Drosophila melanogaster: one gene and its partners. The protein of the gene in region 2 interacts with the protein of the main gene of each other region in a pairwise test. Each region holds a gene or a part of one and is shown on either strand. Other genes may lie near its edges.

Evidence for each region.
Region 1: the proteins of dl (region 2) and twi interact in a two-hybrid assay, tested with the Drosophila melanogaster proteins (2 studies listed by BioGRID).
Region 3: the proteins of dl (region 2) and tub interact in binary tests that used the Drosophila melanogaster proteins (3 or more experiments, as listed by UniProt).
Region 4: the proteins of dl (region 2) and Dlip2 interact in a two-hybrid assay, tested with the Drosophila melanogaster proteins (one study listed by BioGRID).

What each region holds. Positions count from the first base shown.
Region 1 is NT_033778.4:22,982,769-22,989,009, forward strand, and holds the start of twi (twist), read left to right. Parts: upstream 1-2,605; 5' UTR 2,606-2,723; exon of another isoform or gene 2,724-2,761; coding exon of another isoform or gene 2,762-3,560; exon of another isoform or gene 3,561-3,781; intron 3,782-6,241. Other genes in the region: CG32834 (uncharacterized protein), read right to left, coding at 1-1,507; CG32833 (uncharacterized protein), read right to left, coding at 1,740-2,546. UniProt on the Drosophila melanogaster protein: Involved in the establishment and dorsoventral patterning of germ layers in the embryo.
Region 2 is NT_033779.5:17,446,279-17,452,420, forward strand, and holds the start of dl (dorsal), read right to left. Parts: upstream 4,087-6,142; 5' UTR 3,598-4,086; intron 3,091-3,597; 5' UTR 3,018-3,090; intron 2,233-3,017; exon of another isoform or gene 2,000-2,232; intron 1-1,999. UniProt on the Drosophila melanogaster protein: Embryonic developmental transcription factor. The lateral or ventral identity of a cell depends upon the concentration of this protein in its nucleus during the blastoderm stage.
Region 3 is NT_033777.3:4,384,900-4,391,043, reverse strand, and holds tub (tube), read right to left. Parts: upstream 3,303-6,144; 5' UTR 3,115-3,302; coding exon 2,652-3,114; intron 2,586-2,651; coding exon 1,660-2,585; 3' UTR 1,231-1,659; downstream 1-1,230. Other genes in the region: CG14646 (uncharacterized protein), read right to left, coding at 1-618; Cont (contactin), read right to left, coding at 4,282-4,575, 4,631-4,764, 4,826-4,994, 5,051-5,923, 5,987-6,144. UniProt on the Drosophila melanogaster protein: Plays an essential role in the Tl receptor signaling pathway that establishes embryonic dorsoventral polarity; the signal directs import of dl into ventral and ventrolateral nuclei, thereby establishing dorsoventral polarity.
Region 4 is NT_033777.3:4,643,255-4,648,257, forward strand, and holds Dlip2 (dorsal interacting protein 2), read right to left. Parts: upstream 2,402-5,003; 5' UTR 2,315-2,401; coding exon 1,927-2,314; intron 1,823-1,926; coding exon 1,530-1,822; 3' UTR 1,395-1,529; downstream 1-1,394. Other genes in the region: nuclease slx1, read left to right, coding at 290-1,170; rpk (ripped pocket), read left to right, coding at 2,810-3,076, 3,322-3,424, 3,492-4,084, 4,141-4,884.

The DNA of each region.
Region 1 (6,241 bases), on a different chromosome or scaffold from region 2:
TGGGTTCAGTACTCGCTATAGTACTCGTCACAGTACTGGGTTCAGTAGTAGGTACAGTACTGGCTTCAGTACTCGCTATAGTACTCGTCACAGTATTGGGTACAGTGCTGGGTTCAGTACTCGCTATAGTACTCGTCACAGTACTGGGTACAGTAGTAGGTACAGTACTGGCTTCAGTACTCGGTTCAGTACTCTTTATAGTGCTCGTCACAGTACTAGGTACAGTACTTGGTATGGTAACCTGTTCAGTACTAGGTAAAGAACTCGGCTCAGCACTTTGCACAGTACTAGGCACCGTACTGGCTACAGTACTTGGTACAGTAATTTCTTCAATCCTAGGTAAGGTACTAGATACAGTACTAGATAAGGTAGTAGATACAGTACTGGCTAAGGTACTAGGTAAGGTACTAGATACTGTACTAGGTAAAGTACTAGATGTAGTACTAGATAAGGTACTAGGTAAGGTACTAGAGACTGCACTAGGTAAGGTACTAGAGACTGTACTAGGTAAGGTACTAGAGACTGCACTAGGTAAGGTACTAGAGACTGTACTAGGTAAGGTACTAGATATGGTACTGGGTACGGTACTGGTGGAAGGTTCAGTACTAGGTACTGCAACAGGTTCTGTGCTAGGTTCAGAACTAGGTACAGTGCTCGGTACAGTAGCAGTTGTAGTGCTAGCCACAGTGGTACTACTATCACTAGAAGTACTTGTCGAAGCGGTTGTATCCTCATCTTCGGTGTTCTCGGCAATCCAACCTGTGAACCAAGGTACATTGGCGTAGACATCTGGTTTGGTGGTGCAGCCGCCTTCGGATAGAATGCCCACGAGTTGTCCATCTATCACCAAGGGAGCTCCCGTATCGTAGGAGCATCCTCCGGCGCCATTATGAGTGCAGAGGGTAAGGTACGAGATGCCATTGTCCCAGAGTCCGAACCAAACACCGCGATCCGCGGCGCACTGCTCCCGATTGTAGACGCTGACCCATGCCATCTGCAGATAGTCCGGCAGACTGCCGAAGCACCTGTCCCACCAGCTGCCCCACCAACTGGTGGATCCCCAGCCGGAGACAGTGCACCACGAACCATCGTCCGGTTCATCCTCTGCTATGCTGATGGGCTGAATAGCTTCGGAGGTCTTGAGCGGATCGCACAACTTCAACAGTGCCAGATTGTTATCGAAACGCCAGCAATTGTACTGCGGGTGATTAATTATTTCACAGACTTCGAGCAGGAATCCAGTTCCATCATAATCGCGGGAACTGGTGCCCACGCGTACTTCAATTGAACCGTAGGACTGGACACACGAAGCTGCTGTGATGATGGTGTCTGATGTGATGATCGCCCCACTGCATATTGCTGTGCCATCTATTATTACTTCCGCCTGGTACGGGGCATCTTCAATATCCACATCATAACCTCCAATGATGCGGCTTTGGGCATCCAGATCACCACGAACCGGCCGTAAAAGAGCAGCCAACAGAAATAAGAACACACTCCAAATCATTATAAACAACTGATTTTTAGAGCTGCATGTGCGACTCTTTTTATAGGAAAAGTTAAGTCGTTTTCAAGGCTAGAGCTCCTTATCTGCAAAGTCATACCTCAAATTGAGTGATGGCTTTACTTCGAAGCTCTATCAAAATAGGAAGTATTGCGTATTACTTGCACTAATCTGCACATAGTCATAGCTCGAAGGCAAAGTATTTTTTAACAATTAATTGGGAGAACGCTTAAGTTTACTTTGTATGATTATGCAGCCAGTCCTTGTACTTTATAAGATTGATATAGACTTCTGGATACTCCGAACAGCCGCCTTTCGTTATAATGCCGACCAGTTTGCCATTGTGGACCACAGGTGATCCCATCGCTAAAGAGCAGGCTTCCTTAGCGAACTTCTCGGTGCAGAACAAGTCATCTGTAAAATTCTTTTTGGACCAATTGTTTCGCGCCCACAGATCTGTGCACTGGCTAGGGCCAAGTAGCTTCACCTCGGCCTTCTGCAGCTTGTAGGCTTCATCATCCAGACACTTCTTCCAATACATTGCCCACCACCTGAAGGAGGGCCACCCGTTGGCCGTGACCTTTGCCCCATTAGACGGAAGCTGGTTGGCCAACTGAATTGGCTGGATCGTTTTGGAGGCCTCGAGCGGTTCGCACAACTTTAATATGGCCACATTGTGAAATACTGTCTGGCCGGTGAACTTTTCGTGAACTGTAATGTTGCAGACTGCTACTTCGATGACTCCATCGCTGCGCGTAGTGCTACCCACTCGTACACGGATCACCTTGTTCAGGAATCCATCCACACATTTCCCGGCTGTCACAATGTGACTCAGTTTGTATATCGCTCCGTCGCACTTGGCCTTTTGTTTGATCGAAATGGAAGCAATCCATGGCGCTGTGGTTATGTTCACGGGATGACCACCAAGAGTCGTCCGGTTGCAGTCGTTTTCGTCGTCCTCTTCCGAATCTTCACCTGCACCCGTGTCACTTTTGGAAAGGACAAAGAGTGCAAGGAAAATTGGTAGAGATCGCAGAAGCATGATGCCAAATAAATGTGCATATAGCAGGCTGTTTAAATTTTATAGTATTGGCACAAAGCATAGCAAATTAATTTGTTTTACTTTACGGTGTGTTAAAATTTTTCTCACTTTAAGCCATTGTGCAATGTTCTTTATTCTGTGCTTTACAAATTCAAATATAGATCTACAGAAGGCAAGGTAATATTATCATTAAACTATTCACAGCAAGTAAGATATTAATCCTTCGTATTCGAGTCCAGCCAGTTCGTGTGCCCCAGGATATTTGCATAGACATCGGGCTTAATGGAGCAGCCCGCTCTGGAGAGGATGCCCACGAGCTTGTTGTCGATGACCAGAGGCGAACCCCTGTCTGTGGAGCAGGCTCCCTTGCCCGGCGACTTGGTGCAGATGGTCAGGTCTGAGATTCCCTTGAGTAAGTAAAATGGTATGACTTTCCAGTCGGCGGCGCACTGTTTTTGGCTAAGGATCCGCACTTGAGTGCCGTGCAATTGGACAGGCAGCTGGAAGCACTTCTCTTCTATTCCGCTGCTAATCCTCTAAGTCTAAGATAAGGTCAAGGAAATTGCCTGATCTGCCACCACAGCCAGTCACATTGGCTCGAGAATTATCATCCGGCACTTTGTCGGCCCTCTCAATTGGCTTTATTTCATCGGTGGTGTTGAGTAGCTCGCAGGTTTTCAAGAGAGCCAAGTTATTGTCAAAGCGCCAGCTGGAGTACTGGCTATGAACTTTGACCTTACAGATTCCAGCAATTGATCCACTAGTGCCGCAGCTGCTGGTTCCCAACCTGACTTGTATGCTCCTGGCGCTGTAGCCATCCACACACTTGGCGGCAGTCAGGATGTAGTTCTTCGAGATAATGGCACCACCGCACTTGAGCTTCGAATTGACTATGATGGAGGCATACCACGGTGCATCCTTAATGTTGACAGTGTTTCCGTTTATGATCCGCTGATCTCCGAGAGCCAACCAAGGCAGAGCCACAATCTGCAGGAGGATTAGTGGGGCTAACATTCTCTTTAACTGACTTTCGTGAAGGGCGTGCTCCTCTTTTTATGGGATTCTTTGTTAATTAAACGGAATAGCTTTGGAATACTCTTCTTATCTACCTTTCGAAGAATCTATTTTGTAATGTAAGAAGAATATGTATTACAATGTATTACAATCCATATTGGCATTTGAAACATTTTGAATGATAAATACGCCCTGTGCGCAATCGATTGAATATAAAACCGAACTATTATACGTTCAATTGCCAATTGGGGTAATCCACATATATGCCCAAATTATAAAGTATAATTTAAGCAGCCGCATCGATTCTTTTCGCTTAGAGCGGCTTTGTACCCGTCCTCCGATTTGAGACAAAACTCACCAGCCATTACACTAAGCCGCTTAAATATTTGAATAATTCCTGCAGAGTAAAAAAAACGTGGGTGACTGAAATATAGCTGGACATTTCCATCAAGCGATATTTGCATGTATTTATGCAATTTTACATGAATGCAGATTTAAATCTGGGCAATGTTTAGCAAAATGTCGAAATAAATACTTTCATGGAGGAAAGTGGCAGGAGAGAGCTGGCGAGGGGCAAGGGGCATGGGGCATGGGGCAAGTAAACAAACATTTTGATGATTCGCCATGTCAAGTGGGTCGGTTTCGCAGCCAGGCAGGCGGATTAAAATGGATTACAACTGAATTATTTGATAATGTCCCAGCAGATGCAACACATCGCATTGCTTTCGCCCCGAATCGCATTTAATTTTTATCAATGTGAAAATCATTTTTGGTTGCTGGGTTTTTTATTACCATTTTATTGGGTTTTTTCGGCGGGCTGAATCGTGTTTTCAATTTGCCCCTGGATCTACGTTTTCTTTTGTCAAATATTGTTTGGGTGTGCTTTTTTTAGCTCTATTTAATTGATTTTATTTACGCAAAATCAGGAAAGCTTGCTCGCTTTATACGAGGCTTTAATTAATTTAGTTAATGGGATATATTCGCGTACTATTCATGATCTTTTGTTAAACTGTTATGCTTGAAAAAAAAGGATTAATTATGTTAAAAGCAAGTGCCTTTCTCACCATTTTATAATATTCAACAGATTTGCTAAGCAAGGCCACTTTTCAAATGACCTCAATTGGTTTTTTTTGCTGGCCTAATGAATATTTCAGTTTTGGCAACATCGCTAACGCCATAGACGTCCATCGATGGCCATTTCCAGCTCGATCCAGCTGCTCCTCCATCTCAATCAGCCTTTGGCTCATACATAACCCAGTAAATCCTTTTCCAGCTCGATGGCATCGTTGCCAATTTTCACACCAGCGACAATTACTCAAACCGTTGGCAACAACAAAAACATGGGTTACCACTGTCCTCGTCCTCGCTCCCTTTTCCCTGACCCGCTTTTCCCGGACTTTTCCCGCCCGCCCCCGCAGTCACAGCTCGCCACTCGGAATCGAGGGAGCCGGCAAAACAATCGTTGACAAAAATATTTGCATGCACTCTGGGTGCACTTGTCCGAATCGCCGTGCTGGGGATGCAGCTGCTCCTCAGCGCTGCTGTGCCGCGTGTGTTGCCATCGGCGGCGGCGCATTAAATATGCAACACCTATGACAGCAAGCCGCTTGACATTTGGATCCGAAGGCACGGGACTGGAGACCCATTCCAGTTTTAAGCTGGAACTAAAGTTTTGCCGACAATTTGCAGCTAAATTTGTCAAAAAACCAGAAACTTGGCCGGCTGAGAAATTATGACTTCCGCAATTGTTGGGTGGAACAAAGGGAATCCAGCGCAGTGCCAAAGTGTGACCGACCCGAAACAGTTCAAAAGGCAACTGTTGCTCTTGAACCTTTGGAAAATCCACCGCTTCAAATGCCGTTACACCCCCCGCCCCCCACACACGGCAAAGTTTTCAAATAGAAAATGTTTAATTTCCCCAAAGACAACGTCGATGCTGCTGCTGCTTTCCCGAAAACGCAGCGTTTTCCCACCCAGGCCAAGGAAACTTTCTTACATATTTTACAATAGATCTTCGTGTGTGTGAGTAAGAGTGTGTATGGGTGTGTGTGTGTGGGTGGGTGCAACAGTGCAGCCGAAAAAGTTTCTCCTTTCCCGGGCGGAAAGTTAGCTAAGACAAACGCCCCGAAAATACCCACATCGCTCAGTTGCCAGCGCCCATCGCTGAGCTTCCGGGTCGAACTTGTTAGTTTGCCATATAGCGTCGAAAATTATATTATTTTAAACTTTTCAAATGTCACCAGAGAGTCAGAAATTTCACCGAAAGTCGGTGACAAACTCCTGTTGTTGCGACTCTCCTTCATTGTGTTCGTTAATTAAACATGTTGTCCCCACGACGCGCACAATAAATCGAACTCAGTGCGGGCAAAAAAAAAAGGGAAAATTGAAAATTAACTGCATTATCTGATCGAACGGGGTAATTAAATGTGGCAATCATTTCGGGTCGATCAAACGCCTAGTAATGCCATCGATGGCATTACAAGTTCCAAAAAACATGCAGTTATACATTTTATAAATGTCAGCCATGTCCGCTCCCCAAAGCCATTTGATTTAATAAATATCTTTAAAACTCTATTGTTTGCCAAAAAATCATTTTATAGACATTGTTCAATTTGAATTTGATTTTTGTCATGATATATATACCGCTCTATTGCACTATTGTTTACTGGCAACTTTATTTT
Region 2 (6,142 bases):
TGTTTGTTTTTGCAGTGAATATAAACACACATTATACAAGTACATTTGTTTGTGTATCTATAGTAGGCATTTGGTTTTAGGCTTTGGCATTTCCGTTTCAATATCCACGGCAAAAACGAAAGGAAAATTCGCCACTTGTCACCGTTCAATCTGCCTTGAGCACTTGGCGCCAGTTGAGAAAGCTCTCTAATGAGTTTGCAAAACCCAATTATACGATCTATGCTGGGCAGAGGATATATAGGATATATGTTAATATGAAGATATGCCTCTGCCAGAATGAATGGATTGCATTATATTCGTACCCAGAGATTTTTGAAAACAAAATATCTCGATTTTGACTGGGACACGAATTTCCACGAAACACAATGAGTCACAAAACAAATTTCTTGCTATGTATGTATATTGAAATATATTGAAATATGCAAGGAATTCGCTCGTGTGCCACCCACTGTTTGGCAAGAATCATTCACTAACTACGTGACTTTCTCATTGAGAACAAGGTATGGAACTGAACGAGAATAGGTCAGTTACCCTGAAAATTAAATCTAATATTTTGAGGATATCAAAATACTGGAAATTCCCATAGTTTCAATCGATTAACCAATTTAATATGTCATTCAAAGGCTAACAAGAATTATACTGCCACCGAATTTAATTGCAATACACTATTTACGATGGTTTCATCCGCAGCTATATTGAGATTAGAACCATTTGCAACCACACAAATTTGCCACCGTTTATTCCCGTCAGATAGAACCTGCGGCATTCAGACTGATAACGCTCAGGTGTTGAGCGTAGAAAATCCGAAAAAAAAACTCAAAGATAACCAAAAGTAAGATAAGAATATAAAAATAAATCTAAATGACGATGGCCTGAGAATGTATCGATAGATGGTTTTTGGTTTAAGTGTTTTGCAGGGGAGTTATATTGGAATTTCCTATGGTTTTGCCCTTCGTTTGCTCAAAACAATAAATAATTTATTTGATTAGCTATTAATTTTCACCATGTCTTGCAAAAATCCACACGATAAATTCAAAAGAAAAAAGTCTATGCTGTTAAGCCATAAAATGAATTAATAAAATAACGTTCTACTCGTTCAACGATAACTACTTTTGGCGAAAAATAAAAAAAAAAGGTAAGTAAACAAAATAAAATGAACATTTCGTTTCGATCATTTAACATGCTAATTTTATGCAATTTCCAATAGCAAAGACACACAGAAAAAAGTTCTTTTGGCGCCAGCACCACAAATTAAGATTAAGATCAACATCAAAGCATCAGAAGCAGCCAAAAATTCCTCAGTGAAACGGGTTCCGCAAAAAAAAAAAAAACAAGAACTCCAGACAGACAAATGTTTTTTAACGATCGTTGGCGTCAAGCAATTTACAGCTCAAATAAAAATAAATAACCGATATGCTGACAAATCGATGGAACTAGTTGCCAAAAGCTATGTTTTGTATCGTATGAATACAAGTCCATTATCCTTATTTTCCACACCAAACAATGTTTGTTAAATTAGCCGATCAGGGATTATTGTGCACATGTGACTTCCGGCAAAAATGCAGATACATATCTTATCCGTATCTCCAATTATAACGGCCACGATCTTTCTTATCGAGTGGTTTAAATGATATTCGCCTAAAATAGAATCCCTATTGATTGATGATTTGCATAGCGGAGGGCCTTACCCACAGCCAGATCGTGTATCAATCATGACTCGGATTTAGCATACGGGGAAACTACCAGTAGATATAACCAATATTATCTATTGACTTGGCCTTAGATCTCTGTTAGCACACAAATCTCTACTCGAGCTTTGTAAATCGCCGATGACTTGCTGGAAACGAGTTGAGCGATTTTAGCGCTTTGATTTTCTTTGGTCCCGGAGACGAGAGTCTGATGTTATGAGTCAGCACACGGTTTGCATTTAACTTGGTTGCACTTTTCGAGTTTACACCGTATTAGCAGCTAAAAGCATTTCTTCATTCTTCATAATTACCTGCGAATCAAACCAAGAACCAGTGAACACTCATGACGAATTCGGTTTCACTTTTTGCTTTTATTTGGGCCACAAAACGCACACTAACCGCAGTTTGTTCTTTCAAAATGGTACTTTTCAAATTATTACTTAAAAATAATATCGAACCGTTAGGGAATTTTAAAAATATTTAATAAAAATAAAAGAATGTTAGCGCAAACACGACCGCAGGCGCATCGAGTCGATCTTAGAATGAAACAATTGAAAACCTCTCCGGCGTATTTGAGTGGCAGCAAAAAATAAATAAATACAAGGGGCAAAAGCTTTTCCACGAGCCCCACCCCCTCTGGGCCCCACGGCCCCCCTCGCCCACCCACGTGCCCGTAAGAAACTTTCATTTATGGCGACGTCGAAAAGCCACTGCGACTGCGCTGCCATGTACACAGGTGTTTCGGTTGTATTATTTAAGTTTATCGTTTGCATTCACCGTAGATTATTTAATACGCAGGTGGATAATTGCCACCCAAAAAACACAACAACAACAACTGCGGTTACACTACAAAGGATTGAATACGTTCTAATAGTTTTTTTTTAACATCTTAACTATTATTTGTCATGCAGAAATTGTGAGCTATTACAAATCTTAGCATCCAGGAATTTTAAACATTGTCAAAATGTTAAAACTATTTAGGATGAAAAATATTAATATGCGAGAAAAGTGACCAGTCTTGGTTTATCAAACCTTAAAAGTGTGAATAATGGTTGATAAATCACGATGTTGTTGCTGTAAACATTGTTCCGAAACGATAAGGCGTCCAATGACTCAATAAGGTTATATTTTTAATATGTTTAATGCAAGATGCGTTTCTTTGTAATGACATTTTGCGTCTTTGGAAGCAATAGTTGTGTACATATTTATTAAAATATCAAGACCCTTCTCGCAAAACGCAGCCATTAGGATTTTCCACCGCACTTTATTAATCCGTGCAATCAATGTTCAGAATCAATAAATTAAGCTAGGCTCTATAGGGGGACTCACCTAAGTCAAGGAGTGATCTGAAATCTCGCTTATATGCATTGATATCACTGGGTTTGCTAAGTAAATCGGACACCTGAAATTCAACGCGAACCAATTAGTACACTTTTATGTACATTATTTGTTAAGTTTCTTATTGTGTTAATTGGAAAATTAGTCCGTTGCACAGCGAGCTAAATAAGCCATTTATTTATAGTTGAGAAATATGGCGCTTTTTTCATGTTAATGTTAACACATACACAAGCACGCACGGCAGGAACCGGTTTATTTATTATTTTTTATATATAAATAATTTATTCTTCCCTCCCTTTCTCACTCACTCTCTCTCTCTCTCTCTTTCTGATTCTTCTTATTTTATTCTTTTTTAACTTTTGCGCGCGCACAAAGCGGGTGCGATAATATCGATAATAACGACAAAAACAACGGATGGGGGAGAACAGTTCGAACAGAAACTAATGAAAAGTTAAGAAATCGAAGTCCGAAGAAAGAGAGAGTGGGCAAAGAGCGCGAGAGAGCGCGTGACGTCGATTTTTTCTAGGGAATTCCGGGCTTTATGCTTATGCGATCATCGACGTACGACTACCTTTTGTTTTTGTTTTTCGATTTATTCGATTTATAATTTAGGGTAATTTGTTATCGCGCTCTGCCCTCCATTTTCTTTGGTTATTCTTGCGATGTTTGTGGTTAAAGTGTCGATGTGCCGTGTAATCTAATCGGTAAACGTTCAGTTTTAATAGAAATTATCAATACGTGCGCCGAGTTTTTTATTTTTGTTTTTTCCTCCGTTATATTGGTGGGTCTCTTTTTTTTGTCACTCGTAATACGAAAAAGCAAGTGAAACTTGCTTAGAGCTCAATTGAATTTATGCGTTTTTATGCAGCTCTTTTACTTTTCGTTTTATTTTTATCTACTGGTATTTCAACCTGCCTTCGAGCTCCAGAAGAGCGAAAGAGAGCGGAAGCTTAAAGCACAGCGAAAAAGGTAAATAAGGCACAATTTGGAGGTGGAGATAAAATACCCGTAACACACGCACTACCAACCGATCTCGACGCCCGCGATTTGAACACTAACTGCCCACCAAGAAGAAACAGGCGAGCCAAACTTTCAATACCGTATGCGCCACTGAAAAATACCGCAAAACTTGCAGATCGCGAAGCTTTCAACGGAGTTAAGTAGTCGGCCCCAAGCTCTGCTCTTTGCAGTCTCGACTTAAGCTCAGAAGAGAGACAATCCGAAGAGCCTAGCTTGGCGAAGAGTGCGAGATCAGCATGTGCTGAGTCACGTACGATTGAAGTTTTCCACTTGCGACTTATAGCTTACAGATGTCCACATCTTCCACAAATCCGAGTTTCGAGGAATACGCGATGATTGCATAAAGGCGAAACAATATATACATACATATAATATAAATGTTTTTATCTGACTGATACCGATTAGTAGGAATGCAGGCCAGTTGTTTCTTTCAAAAGCTTTTAAAATGTGTCACCTTTTAAATCTATAACACGTATTATATTGAAGGAATACCTAATTAATTGAAAATGCATATCTTTTTATTAGGAGCATCCCAAAGGAATCGGAAAATATAAATATTTTGTTTTTCTTAAATATTGAGAATTCAACTGTATGGTAACCAATCATCAAGAATTCGATTTTCAATGTGAGATTCGTTTAAATAGCCGAATATTCCAACTATATATGCATATTTACGAAAAGTAAAATATAAATGGAAAAAATAACTTCCGTCATTTATCTCAGTGTCTTTCACATGTGACTCATCTCCACGAGCGACTGCCTCCGAAAAGCTTTTTCAGCTTTTATGAATGAAACAGCACGGTGAGCACTAACTATCTGTGTGTGTGGCTGCGAGCTATCCATTTAAGACCCCACTCCCACCCATGCGGTTGGGGGGTCTGAATCAGCGTACGATTCCTGGAAAAAGGATAATATCCTGCGCCGGCATTTGTTGTGGCATTAATTTCCACTGCGGCAGAGTCTCAATGCCGTGACTCACTTGCTTCGTGCTCAGCATTCCGGAGCAGCTTTCACTTTCCGGGCGGAGGACCTCTGACATTCAAGACGGCTTGTTACGCGGAATTTGATAATATTGCTGATTCACCTTCTGGGGAAATGGGGGTCAGTACAGTTGATAATTGAATACATCGCTTAAAAAGTGGTCGCACGTTAGATAAGGATTTTTATGTTTTGGGTTTTTCAGCTAATTAAACCAAATTATTAAATATGAACGATGAATAGAAAATATAATTGTCACATTATTTGGAAAACGAAATATTATCAGTTTGAAATACATGCGAAAGAACCAGGTAGTATTTTTATAATTTCATGACAAAATTACAAATAAGTACTAAATGTTCCTATTTTATTACTGTGAAAAATTTATAAGTAAATAAGAATAAAAATAATATTAATTAAAGTTGGATGGTCGGTGACACAAAATCCACATGCTTAAGTTCTTCCCAATACTACGTACATATGCATAAAAAAGGACTTTCCGCCATTATCGTAAATCGTTATCAAAACCACACTGGCACGAAGGTCATGCCACCTGGTAAACATACATACATACATAAGTGCACGTGAGCTAAGCGCAAATAAATAGGAATTATGTCAAATGTTAGTATTGAAATTCCACATCAATTGCCATCGCCGCCCGTGGAATTGGAGTGGGGGAATTGCGGGACTAAGTCAACTCGCAATGTCTTGATGGCACGAACGTAGAACAACAACCCGGTTAATGGAGTCCAGACATCGATCAAACAATGGTGAATGGAGAAGCTCCCACTCCCACAAGGCCGGCAACCAATTGCAGCGGGTTTTCCACGAAAATCACGCGATATTCGTCCAGTCCCGCGAGGTAATTTTTAATGGATCCTGCCCCCTTATAAGCTGACACGTGCTGGGGCAGTCATTTTCATGTACATACACATATGTACATTTGCACCCCGTGTATACGACATTATTGATTTTTTCCGGTTGTCGGACTTTCGCCTTAAACTCTTTGAACTTCCTGTGGCACGTGTCCTTGACAGCGGTGGGGCAACTAACCCAACAATGTTGTCGGTGTCCCATTCAATGTGAAGGTAAGAGCGAAGTTGCTACTTACCCCCATA
Region 3 (6,144 bases), on a different chromosome or scaffold from region 2:
CGACGTGTTGCTCTGATGGGCGAAGTGAACATTGTACATGGTGGTTTTTATTATCCAGTTCTGCGTGGCAATCACCGAGCTAATGGAATTTAGCTTCTTCTTGTATATTTCCGGTTGCCGGAACTCTATACCAATTTCGCTAGCCACGGCACTGTAGCTGCCCGGCGTGATGGAGTACTTGGAGAGCGCCTTGCTGATCGGGTGCCGACGCCAGTTTTCCTGGTGCCAGTTGAAGATCAGAGCGGGCATCGCCAGAACGGCCAACACACTGAACCGCTGGGCGGTTTTCCACGTAAGCGTTTTAAACGCTACCGCTTCCTGGGGCATGGGGAAATCCGGGTCCAGGTCGAAGTCCTCCAAGGGCTCCTGCGTGGCGAAGACGGAGAACTTGAGCCTATGAATAAGAAAGTAGGAGAAGGGCAGACAGGAGTGCACGAAGAGATTCAGCGAAGTACGGCGCTGGTGGTAGCCTACAAAGTCCAGGTACTCTTCTCCCAGGAACCGAGCGAACAACTGTTCAATGGTGAATCCCAGGCGTTGGAACTCCTCTGGCGGGTAGATGATCACCATGCACAACAGAATATAAAACAGATTGAATAGCAGCTCCGACTCGTCCATGTTGCGAATAATTTCGGATTTTGTTTGGCTCAGTGGTTTCGTCGAACACTAGAGGTGTCCAACAAATTCCCGATTATTGTTCTTAAGATATCGATATTATGAATGGTACGCGATAGCACGGGACCAATATCGTACCGCGCCCGCCATAGCAAATGAGAATTTAAATAAAAACAAGGTGCGAGACATTTTTAATTGTCAGCAGTTTGAAGATCGACTATTCTGCGTGCCACGGGCACGGGGCATTAGAGCAAATGTGGAGTAATACTGTTTGCTGTTTCGAACAACAAAAATAAAACAATTAAAATCAAAAATTTGCAGTTATACGGAAAAGGCAATGGACATGTCATCCGAGGAGAAAGGTAAGTGTACATTTTGGAACGGACAACAGTGTATTAATTTAGTAACTAAACGAAACTAACCTGTGCACATAAATAAAATAGTACAAAAATTACATACAAAATGCATTCGTTCATTTGAAAAACCTAAAGTTTTTTCACCGAGAAAAAACAGTCGCCTTAAACTCTTGAACTTACAGCCCTGAAAAAGGCTTTGACTTAAGCGGTCATGTGGTATATTATCAGTATGAACGTCGAGAAAAACAGACAATGTTTTCAAAAATATTTTATTTGTATTTAGCCATTATATCGTACTTGTGAAATATTTTAGGCAACAATCAATTAATAACGAAAAATGTCATAAGATCGCAGTTTGTCCCAAGACAAAACTGTCACAGAAACCCATTATGCGTTTAAGGAAATTTATACTAGAAAATGAAGGAGTATTTCGTAAGTATACAAAATTTGTTAAATTTTGGTATTGGGTTATGGCTTTCTTGAAACGGAAATATTTGATATTGCCGTACTTGTCATGTACTGTCACGATTACAGACGTGATATGAACAAATCGTGCACTGAATCTTAGATTCTAGTTGGACCTCATGCATAACATAAGAAGGTCCACACCCAGCTGCCAAATGAATACATCTGGGTTGCATAAGTTATCGAACGGAATGTCATCTCCGCCGATGGTCGGTGCTTTTATCTATTGCTGCAGCTCACTCAAGTCTGGAATGTTGCAAGCGTAATCGTCGTTTGAGGTGGAGCTGGAGTCGTTGGTTAGCTCAAAGCTGTTATCACCACTGGTGCCAGTAACCGTTGTCAGGCTGGAGTCATTGTTTGAGCTCTGCTGCTCTGAGTTACTCAGATTTGGCAAGAAGGCATCTGGGTACTCTTCCTCTCCATCCTCCTCACCATCGTTATCATCGTCATCATCTTTGCTCAAGCTGCTGGAGCTGCTTCTGCTCTCAGGACGCAAGGTCTCCCTGCTGCCTTTACTTATATTCAAGGCGCTTATCATTGGCAAGTTGTTTGAGCTCGCCGTTGATGTGGTAGCCGTTGAAGCTTTCGCTGGAGCGTGATTTGGTCGAGAGTTTACATCTCCAGAATTATCAATTAAAAGAGTGATTCGCGGAATGTTAGGCGGATCCGTTGAGCTAGTTCTGTTGCTTGGGTTGTCCGACACAGTTGCCCGCAAATCACCAGAGTTCGAAATGAGTATAGACAGATCGGGGATGTTCATCGGTCGTGGCTGCAGCACTGGCTCCTGAATTTGTTCGCTGGGATTGAGAATTGTCAGATTGGGCACATTCGGGATGGTCGTCGACGTAGTTCCGGTGCCTGTCAATGTTGCAAAGTTGGAGTTAGTAGTACTCCTTTGCTGTCGTCGAGGTGGCGCTATGGGAGGGGTGTTTCCTGACGGCTGGGGCACACTCTTGTCCCGCCTCACAATGTCTTTTTCAAAGTTGTCCAGGTTCAGGCCAACGCTACCTTGAGCGTCTGCCCCAAGAGTGGCAGTGCTTGACTGGTATTTGAGGCTCAGCCCCTCGTTGTCCACTTCCATTTCCTCTTCCAGCAGCTCAAGGCTTATGAGCGCACCGGGACCGTCAACAGGCCGGGCAGGGGTGGACTCTAGAGAAGTCAGTGGATACACTTTTTTTAGTTTTGTCAGTTTAAGGCAAACATAGTCATACTTGCCATTTAGGAAGTCTAGTGCCACAAAGTCTGCCGCACTGAAGAGCTCTGCCTGCACCAGAAGTTGGAGCAATACCCCAACCGTGGGCCGCTCGTTGAGCTTGCCAGAGGTCTTCCACTCGTCGATCATCATCTGCGACTTGCTTTGGTCCGGCGGTAGTCGGTTTGCAGCCTCGTCAATCTGGAACACGTCCTGCGCAGTGTACTTAAATCCCTTTTTGATTTCCGCCGGAAAATTCAAGCATCCGGCTCCGCTGCAGGCCTGCACATCCATGCCCTTGGGTATGATCGACATCAATTTGCGCCAGCATGAGTTCTCATCTAGTATTTTGGCAAGCCGGTAAATGTCATTGTCCTCAACGCGTCGCAGCTCCGTGTTGCGAGAATACTTCGAGGATAAACCTATGGCGCCGTTGCTTCCGTTCACCTGCACGCCCATTCCGCATCCGTTCCAGCCATACGCCATGGTGTTCCCTTAGCTACCCAGGATAACCTTACGGGAAAGCCTTTGCCTGTGGCAGGTCGATGGTTCAAGTTCCCAGATGTCCAGTGCGATTGTATGAGATTTCCGCTATAAAACCATGTTTGCATCTATCTTCTCTCTCTATGTTTTTGCCAATGCCCACAGCTACTGCTCGCTGCTCGCAGTATTTCAGTGTGACCGAGGAGGACCGCAGCACCATATTAGATTCGTCATGTAATATTAGGGGGATTCCCGAAGCCGATTGGTATTGTGTGGTATTTCCGTATGCGGAAAATAGCTAGCCATTTGCAATACTGCACTAATTTTTAACGCAAAGTAAGAAAAAACCAAACTTTTTTTTTCATTAATGACATATTCCGGCGTTGTGAGCAATAAATGTAACCCCACCGATAGATGGCTTTCGTTTGTAATTGTAGAAGAATACCGGGTACCTGGTAGAAAGGAAATTCGAATAGACATTTACGTATACATATATATAAGTATTAAATATTCTTAATCAGTAAAAACAGACAAGTCGATATAGCCATGTCCGCCCGTTTTACGCGGGCGATGAAATAGCAGCAAAATAAATAATCGAAAAACCAAAAATAAACACTTAGTTCTTAGTTCTTTTTGATATTTTTGGACAATAATTAATTTTGATTTGTGATAGTTTCTGAGATCTCGACGTCCATAGGGACGGACATGGCCAGATCGATCCTGATCAAGACCTCTTCTACCTGCTACATATTTTTTAACTAGTCTGGTATACCCTTTTACTTCACGAGTATCGGGTATAAAATGCAGGAGTAGTATTACCAGGTGAACAAAAAGGGACATAAATATGGCCAACCGGGGCACACGTTCATAATTAATTCATAATTCATTATTCCAAGTAAAAAAATAGGGATATTGTTATTTTTAGTTCAGCAACATACTGGACCATATAATGGTATTCATATTTATTTTGTTGATAAAATTTTAGAAATTATTTTTTGATAAAAGTCTATAAAATGGACGGAATTGCATTTGTATCAATTAAGGGGCTTGCAAGAGAGCACGGATGGAATGTAGTTCTTTTTATAACTTCACTTACTCAAATATAAGGTCACTTCTTAGTATATGTATGTTCTTACTGCCTAAAGTTATGGATCTTAATTTGTGCTGCATTCATTGGCTTGTGTAAAGAAAGGTGCTAATGAGTAGCAATGTGCTTAAGATAAGAGCCGTATTGATATTGTGGCCATGTCGGGTATTTGCGCCGTTGCGCGTGGTCTTGCCCATCTGGAAGTGTAAAGTTGGACTGGACATGCGACCGTCTCCTCCATTGCTGTATGCGAGGACTCGCATGTTGTAACTCTTCCCTGGCGTCAGATTGTTGATGTACGACTCCAGTTTCTGTCCGATTGGCACTATGGTATTGTTGGCCGTAATCATGTTCTGGTCCGATTCCCAAATGCGAACCTAGAAAGTTTCAAACTGTAATCGATTTTCTTGGTCACGGTGCCGGGAGTTGTACCTTATAACCCTCTACTGGTTCCTCGTCTTGCGAAGGTGAAACATATCTCCAAACAACCCGCACGGTAGACGGGTTTATTCCATACACGTGAACCGAAGATGGCGGCTTTTGCGGGGCCTTTCTATATGTTCGTTCTAAAAAGCATGGTGTTTAAGCATTTTCTTTAAATGGTTTTTTAAACTGTTCGTTACACACCTTCAAAGCGTTCGCTTTCAGGTCCTTCACCTGCAGCATTGTAAGCCATGACTTTAACAAAGTAGTAAGTATCTGGTTGTAGACCTACGATAAGCGCCCAATTCCTTGTAGTACGTGACAGGTAGTATACCGAGTCTTCTTCCTGGTGCGTCGTTTTCCAATACTTCAACTGGTGAAAGATAAGGGTTTTTGACAATGCAATGGAATTAAGTGCAGTAACCATACCCTGTGGCCAATGAGTTTGCCACGAATGTTTTCACGGGACATGTCTATAGGTTGCCAAGTGACATTAAAGCATGTGGAGTTGTAGGCGAGCGCAATGGGCTTTTGAGGAGCCACCTGTGGCATGTCCTCAGCGGAGTGTATGACAGCTATTTCACTCTCCGGTCCCTTGCCAACACTGTTAATGGCTTGGACTTTGACTTCGTACTCCGTATAGTAGTTATTAAGAGGAATATTAACCACAGCCACGCCCATGTGATCCTGTTTTTTTATTTCGTCAGATGCCCATTCAATGGCTCCCTTGAGCTTCCAAAACACTTTATAGTGTATGCCGTGGCTATGCTGCTCTTGCGGTAGAAGCGGATCCCAGGTGATAGTTAGGTCGCCAATCTTTCCACCTCCACCACCCACGTTCCTCGGGGCTATGTATGGTTTGTCCTCATAGGTGCTGTAAATTGGCGAGGGGGCCGAGGGCGTTCCGATTCCCAGATCGTTTACAGCAGTAACACTAAATTCGTAAGCCGACCACGGCGTCAGATTGACAACCTCGGCTTGCTGGCGAGAGGTGTATCGATCTACTTCTCGCGCCTGCACATGGGTCGACACATTAACCCAGGTGCGATTCCAGTTTGTACGGCCTAGGATGTTGTAGTAGCGGATCGCACGACCGTTGTGCGATCCGTCCACCCACTCAATGATGGCCTTCGTTTTACTTATCTGTATGACTTGAACACCACCAGGAGCGCCAGGAGCTCCCTCAATAGAAACACTGGTCTTGCTGCTAATTTCGTTTACCGCCGACTTGACAACGCATTCGTAGTCCCCGGCATCGCGCATGCTCGTGTTATGCACTGTCAATCTGTTCCAATCTACAATCTGCAATAACAAAAAGGTTAATATAAGGACAGGTTTAGTGCAGATTTCAGAACATTAACTTACAATGCGTCCGGTGCCGTCGTGATTGTTTTTTAGGACTTCGCCGTTGTGTTTCCAAACATAAGCAATGTCGAGGAGTTCATCAAAGGCGGCCTCGCAATGCAAGAAGATTAAGTCGTGTTCCTTAGAAACGATTCGTTGTGGAGGCGTTTCAATGAAAC
Region 4 (5,003 bases), on a different chromosome or scaffold from region 2:
AACTAAAAGTTTACCAATAAAATAGTATAAGAACCTGGAACAAGTTATTTTGCATTCCATTTATTATCTTCCTTTTTGGCTGAGAAACAGCTACCACTTAACACACCTTATTTTCTTAGCTATTTTAGCCAAACTAAAATTCTAAAATAATTTTATTTCTTTTTTTATTTTAGAAAATCTTGAAAACCTCATCTCATTGCTTTAGTTAGGGTGTCGCCTCCTTTGTCGTTGGTTTTTGGTTGCAGACACAAAGCAAGTTTCATTAATCTATCTGTTGGTGAATTCACAGACCCACAGGACACAGCTTCTCAACAGGAGGAATCCGTCGCGCTGAAGGGCCACTTCTACGGCGTCTATTTGCTATGCAGTCAGAGCTTGGATCCTCGCTACCGGGGAAAATGCTACGTGGGCTTCACCGTGAACCCCAAACGGCGGATACGCCAACACAATCTTGGTTGTGATTTCGGTGGCGCGAGGAAAACCAGTCGCAAAGGGCCGTGGCTGATGGTAATGATCGTGCACGGATTCCCGAATAATACAGTGGCACTCCAGTTTGAATGGGCTTGGCAACAGCCGTCGCTTTCAACTAGGCTTAAAATGTACCCTGAATTAAAACGAAAACTGCCCAGGGAGACGTTCTTTGACTACAACTTTAGGATCCTTAGTAATATGCTGGGGGTTGGCCCTTGGAATAGATTACCGCTCACCGTTCGCTGGCTAGAAACGGATTACGAGAGGCCATTCAGCAAGGCACTGCCTAAACACATGGAAATTGTGAGTGGCAAGGTTTCCATTAGTGCCTCACAACGTAGGAGACCTGATGATGCAGTACCTCCTCCACCTGTGGCGTGGGCTTCCGAGTGCCACCTTTGTATGCAGGAAATGGAGCAACCGGAGAAATCCCGCCTGGGATGCACAAATCAAATGTGTCGGCTGACATGCCATATGGTGTGCCTGGCCAATTACCTTCTGGGCGACGAGCCAGGTCATTACATCCCAGTTGGAGGAGAGTGTCCGCTTTGTGAGACTCGTCTCAGCTGGGCAGCACTGCTGCAGCGCAAACGTCTTCTTTTGGGCGTGCCTGAAGAACTGCAGGATCATGACGAGGATCTGAGCGACGACATTGATGTAGACAGCGATATTGAAGATACCCCGGAGCTCAGCGATTAGTTGAGGACCCATTTCATTTTATTTACAAATGCTAAGGTATCGCATAAGCTAAAAGTATCTAGGCAAACACCATCTTAATGCGCTTGTAAAAGTAAACATTTTAACTAAATACTTTAAAAATATTTCCAATAGATAATACTGAGTATAATTTAGATTTGTTTGCGGTATTTAAGGTTTAAACGAAAGAAATTAAATGCTGAAATTTAAAGTGTAACAAATTAATTAATATTTATCAGTATTTATTCTCCAAGTATAATAAAATAAATTATTAGGTTTGTTTCCCAATTCGTCAGGTGCTTTTAAACTAAGATAACGTTCAGTAAATTGACAGAAGAACAACATGTATTACATTGATAAAGTTAAAGGTCAAGGTGGGAAATATGTTTCTTAATGCTTCTTAAAGCATTTTTATAGTCTTGCAAAAGTTTAGCCATTTTCCGCTTTTCCTGCAAGTAATACTCCATAGACATTTGTACGTACTCCTGTCCCTTGAAGTTGAACACAGACACTTCAGTAGTATCTATATTGTCGGGTTCTGCTCTAACTCGGCCTGCATTCGGATTGGGTTCCATTTTCACAGCTTCCTTTAGAGCAATGACAATGGAAGATTCCTTCGGGCGCTTCTGCGGTGGACTATCGTGGACTGCGTCAACTGAAAATAATGTTAAAGAAGTTAATAAAGCATTAAGATGCAACACCGACATGATGAATCCAACCCGCTCTATTTCGAAGGCCCGGTGGATTTATAGTACTTACTTGTAGTAACTGAGGTAGTGTCCACATTGTTGATGCTGAGCTCATCGTCGCTCAGGTTTATATAGTAGCTCTCATGCGAAGTGGAAGCCACTTGTTGGGGCTCCTCCTCCGGCTTGCTACTGCTTTCCTCGTACGGAAACGGCACTGCCTCGCCGACGAGGAGCGTTCGGTTCTTAGAGGAGGATATGAACTTGCGGTCAAAGTGAAGGGAGCACATAAAAAGCTGGCTATGGGGAATCTTTGGATGCACTTGGCCGTTTTCGTGCCAGATTCTCGCCCTTTGCGGTTGTTTGGGAAAGGCAAACAGGGTTCTTCCTTTGGTCAGCGCGTTTTCGTGGCCTACGTAATAGTATTCACAGTCCTTGTACGCACAAGACCTTGTCGCCATTTTAAATAAATTTAAATAATTACGAATCTTAATAATTAAGTAAACAGTACAAATCGTGTACGAAGCATTCGTTATCGATACATATCGAGGCGTAACGAGGATTTGGATTTTCAACTCGTTTCCACTTTTCTGCGTTTTGAAATATTTTTCTTTGGAGTTTTAATTTTTAACAACACAGGCGAATGTGCAAATAATGAATTGGGATAACGTGTTAACAATGACAATTAATAAAGTTGCAGCAAATATGTACCTGTTTTTCGTTTTTGTTAATTTCAACAAAATTTAATTTAATTCGGAAGTAAAATATATCGCTAAATTGTCACCATCCGAACGTTTTTTTGCAAGTTCTCTCCAAGATCCTGTCAATCTGGCAGGTCTGCCAAGAAACGGGAAAAAATTCTCGTTTTGCCATTTGTCTTTCACGTTGTTTTCGTCTCCAACCCACATGGATTACTTGAAGCTGTGTTTGTGCGCGTCAAGAATGGAATAGACACCATGACCATATCGGATTCGGAACTCGACAGCAGCAAGGGCATCGACCTGACATTCAGGAGGAGAAGGAAGGCAGGTTCCGTCGCCTGCGAAGGATTTATCACCACGTACCATGAATACTGCAGGAACACTTCCATACATGGTGTCCAATATCTTGGCGAGCAGGAGCGCCCCTTCCGCGAGCGCATCTTTTGGCTGTTCGTGTTCCTGATCTCGATCTACGGCTGCTCCACGCTGATTCAAAGTGCCTACACCAAGTGGACCGAAACGGTGCGAGTCCCTAGTAGAACATACCATACATACATATGTATATACGTAGCATCAGTAAAAGCTCTCTGAAACAATAGCATTTAAAGTACAGATCCTTCAAAATTGCGATGTATTATGCGATATATTATGCACCCTAACTGTTATGTTTTATAAATATAAGAACACTACAGGGTCTTCTGTAAAATGAAAAGTGCTCTTGCTGCCTTCAGCCGACAACAAAACTAATATTTTGCGTTTTTTTAAAGCCTGTGATCGTTAGCTTCGCGGAAAAATCGACCCCCGTGTGGAACATCCCGTTTCCGGCGGTCACAGTTTGCTCGGAGACCAAAAGGGTGCTAAAGCAGAAAGGTTTGTTATTCGGGAAGCCTCTAGTTGTACAGACTATGAATATTAACATGTAACCTTTGTCTGACAGGAAAAGAGACCACTTATGCTGATCTTTACAGCCAGTTCAGCGAAGATATGCGAGCTTCGCGGGTGTTTAGGCCCGAAAACGTTAGTGCCCTTGAGATGGAGGAGTTCCGCACCCTGCTGCACGTATGCAACACGCAGATCATTGAAGAGGACATACCCTTGATAGCCGGCGATGACTTGGACTACTTTGATGTTCTGCAGCGGATGCTGCCCCAGTTTGATCGGTACTTCTTTTACTGCCGCTGGCTTAGTCGTTTCGGCGAGTGCGAGACCTTCTTCCGAAAGACTCTTACGGAGGAGGGCATCTGCTATACGTTCAATGGGCTGAGAGCCACTGAGATATACCGGGACGACACCTATCAGTATCAACACAGCGGGGAGCCCCTGGAAATGGAAAATATTAGCTCGCAGCATACGGCCTGGACTCTGGAAACGGGCTATGCACTGGACAGCGATGTGGAGACCTTTCCGGCTCGTGTCTTAAGTGCCGGAGCGCGATCTGGCATTTTCTTGGCCCTCCAAAGCTTTAAGCAGGAGGTGGACTACGCCTGTCGAGGACCTGTGCAGGGATTTAAGGTGGGAAAATTTGAAAACGTAGCTGTTTGCTTTTTCTTGCTCCAATATGTGTCTACAGTAATGCCAATCTACAGGTACTGCTTCATGCGCCCGATGACGTCCCGCAGGTTTCCAAACAGTTTGTGCGCATTCCCATGGGCAAGGAGGTGCTGATCGCAGTGAAGCCCAACATGATCACCATGTCGTCGGGAATAGCAGAGTACCATCCAGTTCGGAGGCAGTGCTTCCTCAGCCACGAGCGGTCGCTGCGTTTTTTTAAGGTGTACACCGAATCAAATTGCCAACTGGAGTGCTTGGCCAACTTCACGCTGACCAAGTGCGGATGCGTTAAGTTCTCGATGCCCAGAAACGTGGACATGCCTGTATGCGGAGAGGACAAGATCCACTGCTACGATCGGGCAGAAAGGGAGTTGTTAGTCAGGGAATTCAAAAGAGTAAAAGCGCTGAACGCTGGCCGAGAAAATTCGCGGAGCGTGGAATCTGCCTGTAACTGCATGCCAGCATGCACATCCCTCGTCTACAACACGGAGATTTCCCAGGCCAACTTTGATTTGGAAGAAATGCTAGTGGCTGAGGGCGACACTGAGTTCCTGAAGGAGTATCCCGGCTCCCAGATGTCCCGCTTGTCCATTTACTTCAAGCAGAGTCAGTTCATCACTTCAAAGCGGTCGGAGCTTTACGGAATGACCGAGTTTCTGGCGAATTGCGGTGGCATTTTCGGTCTATTCATGGGGTTCTCCATCTTGAGTCTTGTGGAAATGATCTACCACTTCACGTTGCGGCTCTTTACCAATCTGAAGCGCCTGGTTAAAGGATAACCCATTAGCACTATTTCGTAAGTGCGAACAATTCTTATGGTTCCAAAAATTGTGGTTTGAACTAGTTATATACATATTTATACTAATGCTTAGTCTAGCAGAAATTTTTCAATATATGC